2 linked regions of the Styela clava genome follow. The protein of the gene in region 1 purifies or fractionates together with the protein of each later gene. This does not show direct contact. Links are inferred from orthologs where the notes say so. Each region holds a gene or a part of one and is shown in the gene's direction. Other genes may lie near its edges.

Evidence for each region.
Region 2: the proteins of akirin-2-like (region 1) and importin-9-like purify together in Homo sapiens (affinity purification with mass spectrometry; 3 studies listed by BioGRID and IntAct, counting the BioPlex papers as one, with this or other methods). This does not show direct contact. The link is inferred for Styela clava from reciprocal best matches to the Homo sapiens genes AKIRIN2 and IPO9.

Annotation. Positions count from the first base shown.
Region 1 is NC_135250.1:29,924,267-29,933,938, reverse strand, and holds the start of akirin-2-like, read left to right. Parts: upstream 1-5,820; 5' UTR 5,821-5,979; intron 5,980-6,150; exon of another isoform or gene 6,151-6,172; intron 6,173-7,030; 5' UTR 7,031-7,037; coding exon 7,038-7,281; intron 7,282-8,999; coding exon 9,000-9,137; intron 9,138-9,672. UniProt on the Homo sapiens protein: Molecular adapter that acts as a bridge between a variety of multiprotein complexes, and which is involved in embryonic development, immunity, myogenesis and brain development.
Region 2 is NC_135255.1:22,593,336-22,602,198, reverse strand, and holds the start of importin-9-like, read left to right. Parts: upstream 1-4,980; 5' UTR 4,981-5,079; coding exon 5,080-7,900; intron 7,901-8,390; coding exon 8,391-8,671; 3' UTR 8,672-8,863. Other genes in the region: T-complex protein 1 subunit beta-like, read left to right, coding at 1,006-1,147, 1,903-1,930. UniProt on the Homo sapiens protein: Nuclear transport receptor that mediates nuclear import of proteins, such as histones, proteasome and actin. Serves as receptor for nuclear localization signals (NLS) in cargo substrates.

The DNA of each region.
Region 1 (9,672 bases):
CCGTCTTATCGGGTTTCCTCTCCCCGGGATTAATATGTAGCCAAACCTATTCTATCCTAATTTAAACGATTTTTTATTCCACCCCCTGGCATATAGCTCTACAGCCCTATGATTTTACGGGTCGAAATACCCCCTCCCCCCACTTTTGAAATCATTTTTCTTTATCATAGATAGCAATTTTCCGTAGCTTGGAATGCTTTTTAGACCCCCAGGACTACTAAAAACTAGGGCTGGGCATTTTGAATCGAATATTCGAATCGAATAGTAAATTATTCGAATCGGTTCAGAACGAAATTTCGAATCGCCGCCATCTTGTTTTTTTCCTTTCTGCCAATTATCGAGATAAATTTCTCAATTTTTTTTTTATTGGAGCCATATTTTTTCAACGGAATCCTGACATGAGACTCTTTTCTGTAGTGAGTTATTGACGAAAACGTGTTTTTTCATGGTGTGTGAACACTCAGCAATCTGTCTGAGTGATGTTTCCAGTAATTTATGTGTCTGGAACACCCAATACAATAGGAAAGTTACATACAATTATATATATCCCAAGTATTTGAGATTCGATTCGAAAAAAATATTCGATTCGATTCTGAAATCATCAGGTATTCGAAAATGCCCTGCCCTACTAAAAACACGCGTATTCCAGCGTTCGATCGGATCCGCTAGCAGTTTCGATGTAACTTGGTAAAAAAATTCAGAACCCCCCCATTTGGCTACGCCCCTGCTATAGACATAAACAAACTGGTAAACCACACGTCTTACGGCCTGATAGAATAGGTATTTATTTCAAAAGCATGAAATACCAAAAGAGCCAGATGAACAATCACAAAACACAAAAAAAGTTGTTTGGATCTAAATTAGAGTAAGACTAAATGGTTTAAAAAGTGAATAGTTTGTCGCAGTTATACACAAATAATAACACTTGACGTTACAATTCAGTCATAATTTAGACGGAGACAAACGAGAGAAAACTTCTCTCTCCTTTAACATTGTTAATATAGAGGACTTGCACTGGTCACGTGACTTTGTTTACTGGACGGCAAAAAAAAACAACGTCCATTTGGCTCCTGTCAATTGCAAGTCGGATTATAAGTTTCCGTTTTGTTTGGCTGTTGAAAATGGTTATTTCGTATTGTTCCGTTGGCTGTACGTATAGTATAGACCAGTGATCCCCAAAGTGGGCGATATCGCCCCACGGTGGGCGATAACGCTACAGAGGGGGGCGAAAAAGCCGAAGGGGCGATTTCTAGAAACCTGTCTTTGTTCGTCGCATCGTGCACTTGATTACTGTACTCTGCGTGCTTTCGTGTGTTTGAATCACGTAGGCGATTATCACACGCGAAAGGATTGCTGGACTCGTCTACGCAGTAAGATACGGTCGTTTCGGTATCCCAGTGGTCGCCAAAATACGGCAGCCGAAGTAAATCTGTTTTTTGAAAGTACCAGTCAAGAATTTTAGCCTAGTCTATCAAAGATATTTCTACACCAAATTTTTGCCTACTGTAAATAAACTGAAACTTCTGGGGAGACAAAGTGATCATTGGCTTATTTTATTTATATTTCCGAAAAACAACTAAAAACTAACGAATATAATTCATAAACGACAAAATGAGTTAATTTTCACGACCACGCCTGAAAATCTGTCTGAGTGAGAAATGTGTCAGAGCGGATGCAAAAAGGGGCATTGTTACGTTTATTTTTGCATCTTTCTGAATGGCCAATGTCACGAAGTAAACAAGGAAGTCTATGCCCGGGGAAACATCCAAACGGCGGTTTTGGCGATGAATTAATTTTATTTACAATCTACGCTCGAGGAGTAAATTACATTTTTTTTATATAACAGAATCTATCGTGAGGCACGTTTAGACAAAATTTTATTATATCCTCAAAATTTTATTAAACAGCTTCTCGTTTAACGAGCCTACAATTCAATTATAATTAGATAATAGGAAACACGCAGAAAAGTTGATGCTGAGTGCAGGGGTTCAATTGCGCAGTAAATATTAGAGTATATTGCAATGCAATAAGAAATAATATTCATATTCTATTTGAGGGATTCATCACTGCTTAATTTTTGTAAGAGTGTATCTTCTTAAAGAAAATCTGTATCAAAATTTGACAAACCATGCGATAACATTCATTTCGATGTTTGGAAGTACATATGTGTGCGAACAATTATTTTCGAAAACGAACATTACAAAGAACAAGCTAGAACTAGGATTAGTGATGCCCATTTAGAAAATCTTCCAATCTTGGCGTCGTAAAGCTATCAAGCGTGATGCAGCAACAAGACAGTGTCACATTAAATGTCATTGTAATAATTTTTTAATAAGACGACTGAGTTGAGTTCACGAATTGTCGCGGTTTTTGCCCGATGTTCCGTTTTTTAACTTCAAAAAATATATGCGACCCGCAAAAGATTAGCAATCCTAAATGAAAAATGGGGTGAATTTAGAGAGTTAAATGCTATAAAGCAAGAGTACATGGCGTTTTTTTGAGGAGGTAGAACCCTAGATTCTTTCATTTCCGACCGCTAATATGATGAGGGGTTTTCAGCTGTGCTACTATTGCTATCAAAACAACGAAATCGCCTTTCCATCAGTAAACAGGGTAATTTTAGATATTATAAAAAACTCGCTGAAGAACACCAAGCTCATCCATCTCATTAAAAAATACTATAAACTATGATTTGTCTCGTTATTCGGTCTGTAATATTTTCGTTCCAGACTTTACATTTTTTTCACAGTGGTGGGGGGGGGGGGGGGGTATGGGGGGTCGATGGACTTGTATGTATGTATGCGATGTATAAACTACTGTTTGGGGGCGACGATACAAAAAGTTTGGGAACCACTGGTATTGACAACGAAATGGATCTTCAGTTATATTCCAGTGTTTTCAAAAGATCCGGAACGTCGCGCAATGTGGATATCATCTATTGGCAGGACTGCTTGGTGTCAAGTCCAGAAGTCATCTCGCTTGTGTTTCACTGTTTACGGACAGCACTTCGTTGATGGTGAGTGATAATGTACTGTTATCAATTTCTTTAAATATTCATAAACTCCTTCACTCCAGTGGAAAGCAGATGACAAACTACTGTTATTGGTAGGCCTAGGCGTAGACTTGCCTTGTGTGAGGAATTAATCATCAATTGCCATAAGGCAGTGTTTCCCAACCCTGAGCGTTTGAATGAGTCCGCATCGACCGAGAAATTTAGCCACGTTGCGATTTACGCTAGAATTTACATAAAACATCAAAAGCAAGTTTAGTAACATAACATCAATCGAGTCAATAATTATTGGTTACTGAGTATATCTGGGCATATATTCGAATATTCAACTATTAGAATAGCAATTTACTATTCGAAAATTTGGTAACTGGTGACGCGATAGGTCACTTGCGCTCAATCTGACGATTGGATTTTACGGTGACCGTGCATTTGAACCCACGTACATTTAAACCCATGTGTATATCTGCGGGTTAAGTCTATATGCGAGTTCTAAAACCCATGGATTCAAATATCCGTAAAACAAAAACAAAATTTCCATAGGTGCAATAGTATGCAGGTGCATATGTCGTGGGTTCAAATGTACGTGGTTTTAAATGTAATGGAACCGGATTTCACAACTCACTTGCGGATTTCCGACGAAAACACGAATCTGCACACGCTTCGATAAATACCTAAGTGGTGTTTCTTGCGAGTTCTCACAACGAGGAATATTTTTTTTTCTGGTTGGTGTCAATGGTGGCAACCCAAATTTTCTAAATAGAAAAGCGGCAATACAAAATACCAAAAATAAAACGAAGAACACCATAATTTTTGTTTTATGATGGTCCGCGCCCGATTAAAAACGCTTTTTAGACATTGCAAATCGCGAAATTTTGGATGCTACCGTACCAGGGCATTTTCCCTTAGGATTCTTTGCTTTACTGCCTCTACATTGGTACGTACAGTACTGCCGTAGGTGTTGTACGAACAGCTCAGATTTGACGAATTCACAAAAATACGAATCAAAACAAAATATAATTGGGTACTTTACCACGCATTTTAGTGTTCACGGATTGTCATCATATTTTCTGAGTACTATTGCTTTTATTTCGTCAACACAACCGCAGATTAAAATGACCACAATAAAATTAATAATAAACCATGGCGATGAACATGTATTTTTGATTTACTAATATACTTCAAATAAATTTTTAAGAAGTACTAAATCAAGTTGTACTTTCTAAAAATTTATAGCAGATAGTAGGATTTTTCTAACGGCGATAACGAACTCGCAAGATCGCAAGAAATATGCTTCAAAACTAAGTATAATCGGACAATATATTCTCACATTATTATGTTCACAGATTGCAATTGAATTTTAGAGAAGTAATGCTTTCATCTTGTCGTAATTTAACGCAACCGCGAATTATCATGAACACAATTAAGTTAAAATAGGAATTCATCTTAAATTCTCGCCGTTGTCATGTATTGAATATTGTGCGAAAGAAAAGGTCATTGTTGAAATTCGTTAAATTTTTGTTGTGTTCGGTTTCAATGCCTGTTCACACATAGTATACGGTTGCAATAAACTCACAGTGAGTCGGCAAAGGGTTTTGCCGGTGAGAAAATAGTCCGCGACCAAAAAAGGTTGGGAAACACTGCCATAAGTTATTGTTTCCCTAGTTAGCAGGTAATCTATTAGTAAGTGTTAATAGTTGAATAAATAACTAAAGTTTAACGGCAGTGCTTATGCAAAAATACCCAAAAATCAATTGAATTCGCCATCTAGGAATACGCTCACAACCGCATCTTTGATCACCCTGGTAATTTCACAGGTTCCAATCCCATGCGGGGATGGTTATGTGCAATGAGGATTGCAGCTCTCCTCCCAATGAGGGTGGTTCACACGACCGCTGGTCGATTACGACATCCTTCACCATCAAGTCCATGCTTCTGAAAACAAATAACTGGCTAACTAATCCCGACATACAATGGTAATCGTACGATGTTGCACCTTGCAATCCTCCCCATGATTGTCTGATTGTTTCGTTAATTAGCAGGTAAACTATTACTGATCTGATACACTAACTTGACACTGTCAAATGATGATTAGTGTTTAATTTCTTTTCAAGAAAAAGGAAAGATAACCCATTATCAGCTGCTTATGTCCCATCAATATTTGAATTTTCGCCATCTCCAGAGAGAAAAAGAATAGCTAGAAAAGGGGGATTTTAAAGAAAGGAAAAAGGCAGGACCATTTCAACAAATTTGTTAACTTGTATGCGTTGCAATATCACTTTGCAGTTGTTAGCATAAACATTTAATGTGTCTTTCGACTAGACCTACCACACTTCAAAAAAGCCGCCTATACCCATTTTCACTGGAACAATAACACTGTAAAATATTTTATCATCATCATATCTTCCATTTGAAAGGAATTCCAATATACGTACAGCCAACGGAACAATACGAAATAACCAATTTCAACACCTAAACAAAACGAAACGTATAATCCGACTTACAACTGACAGGAGCCAAATGGACGTTTTTGTTTTTATGCCGACCAGTAAACAAAGTCACGTGACCCGTGCAAGTCCTCTCTATTCAAGTCCATGCATATTGAACGAAAAACTGACTAATTAAACCCATATCCTACATGGACTGATGACTGGACGAGGGGCCGTGGTTCGCTCTATGATTGAGCCGTTTTACCGGCTCTTCCTCACCCCGGGATAAATATGAAAAATCTCCAAATATGAAACATACACTATTCCGGGTAGCGGGCGAGTTATTTGGGTCACGGTTAAATGAATTTTGAAAAACACCTAGCGCCCACATGTGGCCAATTTTAATTTCGTTCCCTGGCGAGCTTTTCTTTCTTCGTTCTTCTGTGTTAGTGACTTTGTGTTTTCTTACCAGTTCTTGAAGTAAAATATTGAAGAAATAATCCCAGAAGACATTTACGCGAAATAACAAGCTGCGGGAGGGTGGTGAGTTTATAATTTATTTTTGTTGTGTAGAAATGATTTACGTCCGGCCGTGAAAGTAGGTACCGGTATATCGTATTGTTGTAACGACACGGTACCGGTACCGCCACCGGTAGGCCACTGTCTGACTGTATTCAGCCATTATTACGGTACCAAGAAATAAGTGTTTGGGTTGGTGGATAATTGAGATTTCAAGGTATTTTACAAGTTTAGATTAGGATAACTCACTAGTCTGTTAGTTTACTCTGAATTCAGAAATTTTGTTTGTGATTGTCTGCTTTCATACCGGTACCGTACTTTTTTAAGGATTCGAGAAGAATGCTTAATTAATTAGAAAATAATTATATTTATGAAATGGTACGATACCGGTACTACAGTTCCATACGATACGACAATAAACCAAACTGTAATACTGTATTACAGCAATAAAATAGTATTCATGTCTGTAGGTATTGAAACCCAGAAACCAGAATCGGAATTTTTTTGATTTGTCAGAATTTCAAGGTTCAGGACTTGAAATGATGATCTCACAGAAACATGACCGAGCATTCTCAACAGAAGATTTATATTTACATACAATTCCATATTGAAACATATGTTTAATATTGACTTTCCCGAATTTAAACTCAGAATTATTCTTAAACTTCGAATCTATAATCAAAAAAGTTCAAAATTTTTTCAATCCGGATTCTGTAGTTAGATTCATATTTGAAATGGCTCAGAATCTGACTCATTTTCTTTCCAACTCCACAGCCAAGTTTGAAAAGTTTTCTAAAAATACAAAAGCCCAAAAAGTTATTACATTCGCGTATCTTTTGTTTCTCTGTTTCTTGTTTTAGCCACATTTAACCAGCTTTATGTTTCTGTAATTTTTTCTTGTATTTGTACTGGTGGGCGGGCACATTATATTTCTCATGTTTTAATTAAACCCTTTTTAAAAGTTTTGCTCGCTCACCGAAATTCCTCCGTTTTTAATTTGTGTGTATTATGGAGTTTTCAAAATAAATTATCTGAAATCTGTTGTTTAGTATCATACATGTAATGTATTTTTCAGAATATCGATGGCTTGCGGGGCGACTTTAAAAAGAAGTTTGGACTTTGATCCTTTGCACACTGTGGTATCAACCTCCCCAAGTCATGCCCCAATTGTTGCAAGAACACCACCTAGCAAGCGTCGTCGATTATCTCCTCGTTGCGGATCAGTTTTCTCGAACGCAGAATGTCGAATGTCATCAGGATCTCCTTCTCAGTCTTCGTCTTCTTTAAATCCGTCTCCGTTCAAGCCAATGCACCCAATTTCGTCAGGTAATATATGACATGTTTATTATATTTTAGTAAGTTTGATACAATTACTCTGTACAGCGAGTCGTCGACTTACGACGTTGTTCCATTCTTGAGACGCAGTGTAACCCGAATTTCAGTTTAAGTCGGAACATTATAGCCTACATAAATTACTCTATACATAATGTACTGTATTGTAAAGTATGGTACAGTAATAAAATGTACAAATAATGCAAAAAGTACGATGTAAATGACGAAAACCAATGAGCCCAAAGCACTGATTTTCTTGATCATAATGATCCAGTTTAAGGGCTTTGATATTACAGTACAGTATTACCTTTTATATTTTTATGGAGTGCGTCTGTAACCTCGAAACAGCGTTATGGAGTGCGCGTTCGTAACTTCGAAACAGCGTAAGTCGCGTCGCGACTGTCGTAACCCGAGGACTCCCTGTATTTGGATAACACCAACACCAACCCCTTCTATATACAACTCGGGCTGGGGAATTTGAATTTAATGGAAAATTATTTGAATTGGTTTAGACAAAAATTGATAAAACATGTTTGTTATTGTGTGTGAACATTCAGCACCCTGACTGAGTGACGAATTCTATGTTTTCTATGTGTCTAAAGTGGGGACGCACAACTCAAATAAGAATGTGTGCCATAGTTTTCAAAATAATCTTGTGTGTCATTCCAAGTTCGAATAATTGTTGCTGTTGGTATTGTAAACAAACTTAAAACACATATTAATAATAAAAAACTATCAACTCGAACTATTAATATCCTATTGGCGGTATTGAAGGCAATGTATTAAGTTTATTTCAATATAAGGTATATTTAGTTTCTTTATTATAAATAACATGTTACTCTTTACCAAACCGATCATGTGCCACATTCAAAATCATGCCATGCCACATTGGGCACACATGCCCTGCGTTGTGCACCCCTAGTCTGGAGGACCCATTGCATTAATAAAGTCACTTTGTCCCTACACCATTTGTATTAATTTATTTATCTTCCAATTATTTGACATTCGATTTGATTCCGAAATCATCAGGTATATGAAAATGCCCAGCCCTAGTAACAACTTGGGTTCGCAATGCTGAAGCAGAAAGATCCCTATTTTTCCTAGATGTAATAGCTCCTCTCTATATGGAAAAAAACTAATTGAAGACTTGTAATGGATCCCATATCGCTTTATTATTGAGATGTCTTGTTGCTTCTCATCGAAGATTAGAAAAGGAATTGAAATCGGGGATGGACAAATCTGAGTATTTCACTATATACATTCTAAGAAAATGTCTCGAATGTGGAACATCAAATATGTTTTTAATTGGGATCAAGTTTTTTTGAAAGATTACATAACTGTTTTTTTACCAGTTCATCGACCGTTTTGATCTGCCTGTCGGGCAGCTTAGAATCCCCAATTTTTAAATTGAAATGTTCTAAATTATTCCTAAATTCAAAATTTATGATATTGAATATAATAAATTTAGAATGTATTAGAAGATTTAATTCGTATTGGAAATAGTAAACATTCAGTTTTGTCCATTCCTGATTTCAATCAGTTCTTTAATTTTGGATGAGGAGAGACTTCAAATGTTCGATTCGTTAACATCTCAAGTTGAAATACAATTGAACGAAATGATACCTCATTCTTTTTGGTATTAATATAATTTGTCTCAAAATTCTAAGCAGATATATTAGATATCACATTAAAATTTTACATTCAATTTTCAGAGGCGATTTTGAAGAATATATTTGATGAATACAAAAGAATGAAAAGGCGTCGGCAACTACAATTGACACCGGATACTCCATCGGCCTCCGATACTGGAACCCAAAACTTGCAGAATTTCACTCTGGCCCATGCATCTGGTGAGTAGTAAAAAAAGCAAGGTACTCCTGTAGTATGTGAACCAAGATGGCGGACACCGGATTGTAGTATGTGTCCCAGGTTAGGGTTAGGCTATAATTTCAGGTACAAATATTACAGGAGTCACTTGACCAGTCCCCGAACAGTCATATAACATATTAAAAAATTTTTAAACCTAACCAAATATTATAAAAATTTGGTGTAAAATATCAGGCTTTTTGAACTCTATTTTCGAAAATTTGAAGAAAAAAAATTTAAACTAATGGCTTTCTAGCGATGTCTCCCATCTTGTTAAAAGTACTGTATATTTAAAATAACTTGATTCATTAGCCTAGAAAAGCAACAACATGGATATATAACAATAACAATTTAGAAAAACAATTCTTACCATGTTTACCCGAAAATAAGACAGTAATCAAATTTCTTTCGAAAAGTAACCCTAGTGCTTATTTTTGGGGAATGTCCTTTATTTTTCATTTATCTAAAACAAAATTACAACGTGTTTCTTGCGATTGACGGTATCGAACATGTCTTATT
Region 2 (8,863 bases), on another chromosome or scaffold:
AGTTACAAGTCCAAGTCAGGTATGGGCTTAGCCAGTAATTTGTTTCAGATGCACGGACTTGATAGTGTAGGAAGTCGTAACCGACTAGCGGTTACGTGAACCACCCTAAGGCGGCGAGGAGTCTAGTAATCCTCTTGCACATAACTATCCTCGCATGGGACTTGTGAACCCATGCAGGGTAATAAGAAGAGCGGTGTCGAGCATGTTTCGAACACCCAGCACGTTGCGCCACAACGCAGAGCCTATCCAAGCCGAGATATCATGGGTTGTCTACGGTTGCAGATAAAAGCTTGGCCCACTTGTCCATAAAATCTGATATTAAAACTGCAAAGAGCTGCCATTTTCAAAAAATACATTTATAAATATGAATCCTAAACCAAATTGTTGTTGCACTGAATATATTTTAAAAACGTTCTGGAATTTTAATCATTTTATATCTTCCATGAATTTACAAATGCCAATTTGTATCTGATATCTCCGATATTTGTTTCAAAATTTGCTGCCAATTGATCTGTTATCGTAGTTTGTTGAAGTTGGCCCAAAGCAAGGTTGTAAGACATCTGCTGAATGCAAAATGAGCGCAGAGATGATAGAAGTTTGAAAGGTTTACACACTTAGATCTTTGGTTCATACTAACGGAGTAGAGTATAATCTAAACCAGGAATTTCCAAAAAAAAGGGGGGGGGTTTCAAAATCAGAAATCCCCATTTTCTTCTAATATAGTCGTCATGATTTCGGGTCCGTTAGAAAGGGCAACTTTTTCGATGTATAATGTAATATAGCATAACATCATTTTTGTTTCGGTAGAATGCAAGCGCATGCATTATTGGTGACTATTTCAATCTTCCAAAATTTTCAAAGGGGGGGGGGGGGGACATATTGGTCATCTATTACACTTCAGTTGAAGTACTCCTGCAAAATATTATTGCATTCAGATTTCAATAGCGAACTTTATTATCAAAATACTATTTACTCCTTGTTTTTGACATTACTGTTCCATTCCAGACATGAACCAGGGAACTGTTGGTGACATGAAAGAACTTGGCATCACTGAATCCTTCCAAGTGAAACGACAAGTGCTGATGAGCGCTTCGGAGGCCGCAGAAATGATTCTCAGAGTTGATGACATCATAAGGGCTGCTCCGAGGTAATTTGTTTGAGATGAATTATTATTATTAAGTTATGTGATAGGTATAAAAAGCAAAAGCGATGGAAGGAAGAAATAAATGAGCTGTGTCTTGACCATAGGTGGTTGCTTCTGGCTTTTTCTCATCGTGGGGGGTGTTAGTGTCCTTGTGACTCGAATTAGAATAAAAATTATGGAAAAAATTTTTGTTGTTTAAAAATTCACTTCGTTAAATTTAAGATATTCAAAAGTAATGCTGCTAGAAAAATGAAGTTTTTGAAAAACACTAGAAACCATGCTAAAACGTTAAAAAACAGTAAAAAAAACGCCAAAAAAACCCTAGAGCCTTGCTAAAACATTCAAAAACAGTGAAAAACCATCAAAAAACACTAGAAACCAAGCTGAAACGTTCAAAAAATAAAAGTTTCCATGAATTCAGTAATTACAATTTTTTTTTCAAAATATTGTGCTTTTTTTGCAGAAAAATTATATTTCTTTTAACTTTTCTTGATTAAAATTAAGGATATAAGAATCATTTTCTTATAAAATAAAATATTCAAAATTTCAAGATGTTCGAATTCCCTCTCCTAATTCCGTTCTATATGTATATGTCTAGTTGATGTGAAACACTCAAAATTGATTTATGTGAAGCTATTTTCAAGGTTTAAGGAAATATGTTGTGAGTGTTTTCGGTGAAATAAGACCCCTTTTCATTATTCAACCATGCCATTCTTTTGCACTTTTTATTTCAGAATAATGTATATTTTTACTTTTAGACAAAGAAGACCAGATCACCCTCACTGATTTAACAAATTGTGTAGTCCCAGGGAGTCTATGTGATGTCACAGTGTGTGTTTACTGTTCCATTGTTCAACAATGTCATCAGTGTGTTTTGCATGATCATCATTTGTATGCCAGAAATAATAAAAATACAACCATTTTGTAGCTACTGCGTTTTGAATTTAGGAAGTGGCCTATTAGATTCTATATATAGGGCCATGTATGCTAAATATTTGGAATATGTGTGTGTTGTTCAAATGTGGAATTATTATTGCACTCGTGAAATGTTCGAGGACGTCAATTATCTTAAGGCCGTTGCCTGGTGGATTGCAATTTGCCCACTTTGGAGCAGTTTCCGAGCGCAAAGAGGCCTATTTTCGAAGGGAGTCGCTTTGTAACAGTCGCCGGAATGACTACCATTAAGATTGCTGATACCTTAAATCACTTATGAGTTGTGACAATTCCGGTCTGCGGTCACTCTGTTGGCTTTGCCGAATATCCAGTGAGTTTTGTTTTTGCGAAAAAATAATCCGATTCCTTTATGTGTACTCTGCGACACCGCTGGTCGACTGCCGATTTCCCCCATTTTTGGGCTGACGACACACTATGGTTGGGAATTTCACATTTATCCCGAGGAATAGAGAAGTCGATGAGATTGCTTGATCCTATCTCAGAGGTTCAAGTAACCGCTGGTCGATTATGGCGTGCTCTACCATCAGGTCCATGTTTCCGAAAACAAATAACTAATCCGACATAGGCTTGTAACCGGACGAGAGGCCGTGGTTAGCCATATCATTGAGCCTTCTTATCGGTTCTCCCCTCCCTCGGGATAAATATGTAACCCTCACAAAAACCACCCCTAGCCACTGTTGCTCGTCCGATCCCCAGTTCATGTCAGGTATGGTTATAGTCAATCTGTTATTGGTTACTGATGCATGGACGTGGTTCCCTTTATGATTAAACCGTTTTTCATGTTTTCTACTCCGTGATAGATACGAAACGCTTCTTTCAATGAAGAAAACAAAGAGTCGAAGCTTACGCACAAATTTCGTAATCAATCGCCTGGCAGAGGAGTACACGTTGATTCATATTTTTGAGTGACTTGACTCTTTGTTGCTTGTTTGAGTTCAAATACTTGAGAAGTAAAACAAATTCACTGTAAATATTCTAAAAGTGTATTCGATGGGCCTTTCCCCGACCTTTGACCCCCGAAAAATTCTTCCTATACTTCACCATTGCAAAATTTTCGGGGCTATTTTAAAGTGCTTTTCCGAGTTGGCGCCTGTAAAATGGGGTATATGTTTCAAATGATCATTATGATTCATTGCATACAACAATCTCTTTTTTAAAACTACCGGTAAAGAATTTCAGGCTAATCTATCACAGCTATTTCTACACTAAATTTTGTTACTGCATCTAAATTAAAACTCCTAGGAAGAAAGAGTGATCATTGAATTATCTGATTTATATTTAAGTTTCCGAAACACAACTGAAAACTAACGAATAGAGTTCAAAAACGCAAAAACGAGGTAATGTTTACAACCACGCTTGAAAATCTGTCTGAGTGAGAAAAGTGTCTAAGCAGATGCGAAAGGTGGCATTGTTACGTCACGTTTTGCATCTTGCTGATTGGCCAATGTCACGAAGTAAACAAGGAAGTCGATGCTCGGGGAAAGGTCCATTGGACGATGCCGTAATGCGTCGAACTTGACGATAAATAACATGGCGACCGGTTATTTGAGCGTTTGACGTGACCATGCTTCCATAGAACATCGATGATCCTTGATTCAAATTTTATCTATAGGCTGTGATATTAGGTAGGTAATGTCGACCCAAAAAAATTTTGGTCTTTTTAAAATAATATCAATGAAGGCTCGTACAAATTGTTGTGGCTCGGTGGTGTGGCGCATCGTGCTAAGCCTTAGAAATACGCTCGCCACCGCATCTCTGATTACCCTTCGTGGCTTCGCAGGTTCGAATCCCATGCGGGGATGATCATGTGCGAGAAGATTGCTGAACTACTCGCCGCCGTAGGGTGGTTCACGTAACCGCTGGTCGGTTCCTCCACCATCAAGTCCATGCTTCCGAAAACAAAAATAACTGGCTAACGAATCCCATACCCGACCTGGACTGGTAACCGGGCGAGAGGCCGTGGTTCGCCATATGATCAAGCTGTCTTATCGGCTTTCCTCTCCCCCGGGATAAATATGTAAATCCTATCCTATCCTTTTAACCTCTGACCTCAGGAATGGTAAATGAAACACCACTACATATTCGCGCCATTCTCGCGGTCGTCGTTAACGCTGATTTTAGGGAGTTTGATATGGATTTATGAATTGATTTTCAGCATAACAGTTGCCTTCGAGTGCGTTTTTATCCTGTGACTCGAGCAATTAGTTAGCATCTTAAACAATATGTGACAGGATGGGACGTTCGTTATCTTAAGCTTAACTCTGTAACTGCATTACTTATACCGGTCCAGCCGGTCTGCCGGTAGCACTGCGGGCTTGCGCCCCTTACAGCCTTACATTCTGTACATTCGGTACCGGTAATAGCAGTTGTTAATGGTTTGTAATGACAGTCAGACAGTAGACTACAAGTTCATAAACACTCCAGTCGCCATTTCGAGTCAGAGTTCGTATAAATCTTGAGTCTAATTAATGAGTTCAGATGTCACCTCAGCACTTGCATTCACTCAGTCCAACTTCCCGGTTAAACCAAAAACACCAAATTTGTAAAAGCCAGAAAGCCAAATTTGTAAAAGCCAGATATTGCTTTAAACTATGATTAGAAATTATCAGCATTTTCTTTGTAATATTTCCAAATGATGAAACTTCAGCATTTCAGTATTTATTATACAGTTATACGATAGGCATTTGTGTATAATACCAAGTACCGTAATAAGAGTGTGGTCCAGAATAAAAGCGCTATAACCACCCTCTAAACACCCCTCGGAGATGAAAAAATATTTTGATGCCACCCTGCTACCGGTACCAGTATTAGCTTGATGACTTTGGAACTTCAGAGCTTGGTTACTAATTACTAGAATATAATTCTTACAATTATTTTTTAGAAAGCAATGTTATAGGTGCTAAATGAAAATCAATTTATATATATTAGTATAACACTGTATATATGTGTCTCAATTCTTCTGAATTCGATATATCTTCATCATGGCACAGTCCGATAAAAACATGGCGGAACAAATCTTATCGACGTTGTCAGCAACAATGAACCCTGATCCTAATATTCGTCGAGCCGCGGAACAGGAAATCAAAATATTAGAAGTAACAGAAGATTTTTGCGTTCATCTTGCGAAAATAACAGTCGATCAAAGCTTTGATTTGTCATTACGACAGTTAGCGTCGCTTATATTGAAACAATATGTCGACACTCATTGGAGTTCTATTTCTGAGAAATTTTCTCCGCCGGAAGCAAGTGAAAACGCAAAGATTGCAATTCGACAGATGTTGCCAATTGGACTTGCTGATCCGCAGAGGAAAATCAGGACGTCAATTGCATATGCTATTTCTGCTATTGCTGGTTGGGATTGGCCTGAGAACTGGCCTGGATTATTCGAATCATTAATGCAAGCTTTAACCTCACAAGACCCTAATGCAGTGCATGGTGCGATGCGGGTTCTGACTGAATTTATCCGAGACGTAACAGACACTCATATGAATTCAGTTGTCCCAGTTTTATTGCCACAAATTTATAAAATATTTACAGAGACTGATTTATACAACATAAGAGTACGAAGTCGTGCGGTTTCAATTTTTAACACATGCGCCTCGTTTGCAAGTGAAATTGGAAATGCTAAGGACCCACTACGTGTTAACGTTAGTCAATTTCTGCCAAACTTTTTACAAGCTTATGTAAAAGTCCTCAAGATCTCTAACAGTGAGGTTTCTGATCCAGGATTAAAGAAAGAAGTGATGAAAACTCTCACGATTTTGCTTCGTGGCTTTGAAAAGGAGATAAAACATGTGATAGCAGAAATATTGCCTGCTGTGTGGGGGACATTCACAAATTGTGCTGAAATGTATGTGAAAAAGGAAGTAATGTCTGTAGAAGGCCATGACGATGCTGTGGACTCGGACGGTGAAGGAACAGGTTTTGAAAGCTTAGTATACTGTACGTTTGAATTCATCGAATGTATGTTAGAATTGAAGTCTTGTCGTGGAATTGTAAAGCAATCTCTCGAAGATTTAATCTATCATTTAATATTATACATGCAAGTTACAGAAGAACAGATTTCTATTTGGTCTGAAAACCCTGACCAATTTGTTCAAGACGAAGATGATGAAACGTTTTCATACAGCGTCCGTATTTCTGCTCAAGATTTGTTTCTTACCTGCTGTAGAGAGTTTCAAAGCGAGAGTGCAATAAATTTGATAAAAGCTGTGGATCGTCATGTACGTCTCGCTAACGAAGCTCGAATTTCGAGTCATCCTTGCTGGTGGAAATCTTACGAGGCATTAATGCTTGCATTGGGATCTGTGGAATCTCTTGTGTCACGAACAATTGAGGCAGGAAATGCAAATTTTGATGTCAATTTATTTATTACTAGCATCGTGCTGCCCAGTATAAAAGCTTCTGAGTTCCCTTTCCTTGTAGGACGTGCTATATGGGTTGCAAGCCGATTTACTTGTATGCTGCAACCAGATATGCTAACTCAATTTCTTGAATACACAGTCCATGGGTTAAAAGACAACCAACCCCCATCTATTAGGATTTCAGCAGTCCGAGCCGCTTGCAATTATTGCGATCATTTGGAGCAGATTGGCCAAACAGAGAAACTCAGTCCCTATTGTGCAAGCCTCTTGGAAGGATTAGTCCAACTTGCAATGCAAGCGAGTGTTGAAACTTTAGCTCTAGTTTTAGAAGCTATCGGAATTGTTCTCAAAGTTAATGATGATGTTACGGCTAAATACGAGCCCCAAATTACGTCACTAACTTTCAATCAATTTTTACGTCACAATAATGATCCATTTATCGTGTCTTTGTGTTCTGATGTCCTTGAAGTTCTCTCGGCCAATAAGAAATGTAACGGCAGCCTCGTGGATCACATCGCACCCGCATTGGCGAATATTTTCACCGGACCGCCGGCTAAAATATCAGCAAATTTGGTCGGGATATCACTGGAATTATTAACTGTTATCATTCGTAACACGGATCCCCCATTTTCAGATTTACTTGTTAAAAATTTGTTTCCAGTAGTTGTGAATTCTGTTACAAGTTCGGATGATAATTCTGTGATTCAAAATGGCGGTGACTGCATTAGAGCTTTTGTTTCTCGCTCACCGAGTCAAGTTATCTCCTGGACAGACCAAGAAGGCATCTCAGGCTGGCATTACGTTTTGCGTGTCGCTTCTCATCTCTTAGATCCTCAGCTATCTGAACATTCTGCTGCATTTGTTGGTCGTTTGGTCGGAGTCATGATACGAGAATGTGGGTCACAGTTACAAGAAGTTCTAGACCAGCTACTTCGTGCCGTTCTCAGTAAACTTCAGCAAGCAAAAACCCTTACTGTTACGCAGTCATTATTAATAATTTTTGCGTATTTATTCAAGCATGAACTTGTTCCGACACTCGAGTTTTTATCGAAAGTTCCAGGCCCGAAAGGCAATACAGCTCTTGAGTTTGTAATGACTGAATGGTGCGATAAACAGAATCTTTTCTACGGACATTATGACACAAAAGTTTGCATTTTAGCTTTAGCAGAACTTTTCAAACACGTAGTAGCGACGAATGACACTCGCATGAATGAAATTATGGTTAAAGGAGATCAAATATTCACTGACACCCCAACAGTTAGGACGAGATCTCGAGCTAAAAAAGAACCAGAAAAATGGACGTCTATACCTCTGCCATTGAAATTATTAAAAATTCTTATTGCCGAGTTAGGTCATGCAATAGATCTTGGAGAAGCTACAGAGACGGGAGTTGGAAACGGGAATGATGATGATGGATGGGAGGATGAAGATGACGAAGGTATTTGATAGTAAATTTTTGTCTAGCGCTACCTAGGGATTGAGTATTTTGTGAGCATCATGCATCACCATAATTTTTTATAGTTTCAGTAGCGCTTGGCACTCCAGTGACCAACTGTAATTTCAGTCATAAAAGAATTTTTTCTCTTTTTTCATATATGTGTGCGTGGACTTGCTTTGTTAAAAAATCTGTGTTTACTGGCTTCGAATAATTGCCTAGGTCAGACTACAATATGTGATAGACTCATTGTCAATCCTCAAACTGTTCCTTGTAGAGCAGTGGTTCTCAAACGGTGGGGTGCGCCCCACAAGGGGGGTGGGATGTAGACAAGCTAATTAAAAATAAAAATAAAATAAAAAAGTTTGAGAACCACTGTTTTGAAGTGAGTGCGCATGACTTTCGAGTTGAGAAATCTCCTTAAAAGATACAGTCATGATACCTTGAATTATTTTTTATGTCACTTATGCTGTCACTTATGTTTTTCATTCAGATGCCTTCGAGATCGATGAGCTTGGCAATGGCGATGCTGGTAACTCCAGAGTGACTTTATCAGAATTATTGGATTCCGTGAACGATGGATTCACCGCAGAAGATCTTGAAGGAGACGAGGATGACCCCGACGTGCTCGCTGATCCGTTAAATTCTTTAGAATTGCGGCAATATCTACTGGACTATTTTAGACAATTCTGTAACAGTTCAGCGCACAAACAGTACTTTGGTCAGCAGTTAAATAAGACTGAATTAGACATTCTAGCAAGAGTTGGACTGTAGGAAATTAAATAGCTTATAATTTTATAAGCGAATAATTAAGGCTGTAGTTGAACTAACAGGTTAGAAATGCTGAACCGAATTAAATTCAAATTCACCTACTGGATTTATTAGATTGCTTGTTAGCAGGTGCTTTGCAATTCAGTGTTTTGATAAGCAATCTGACTACAGTGGCATAGTCAGCGGAGGTTTGCC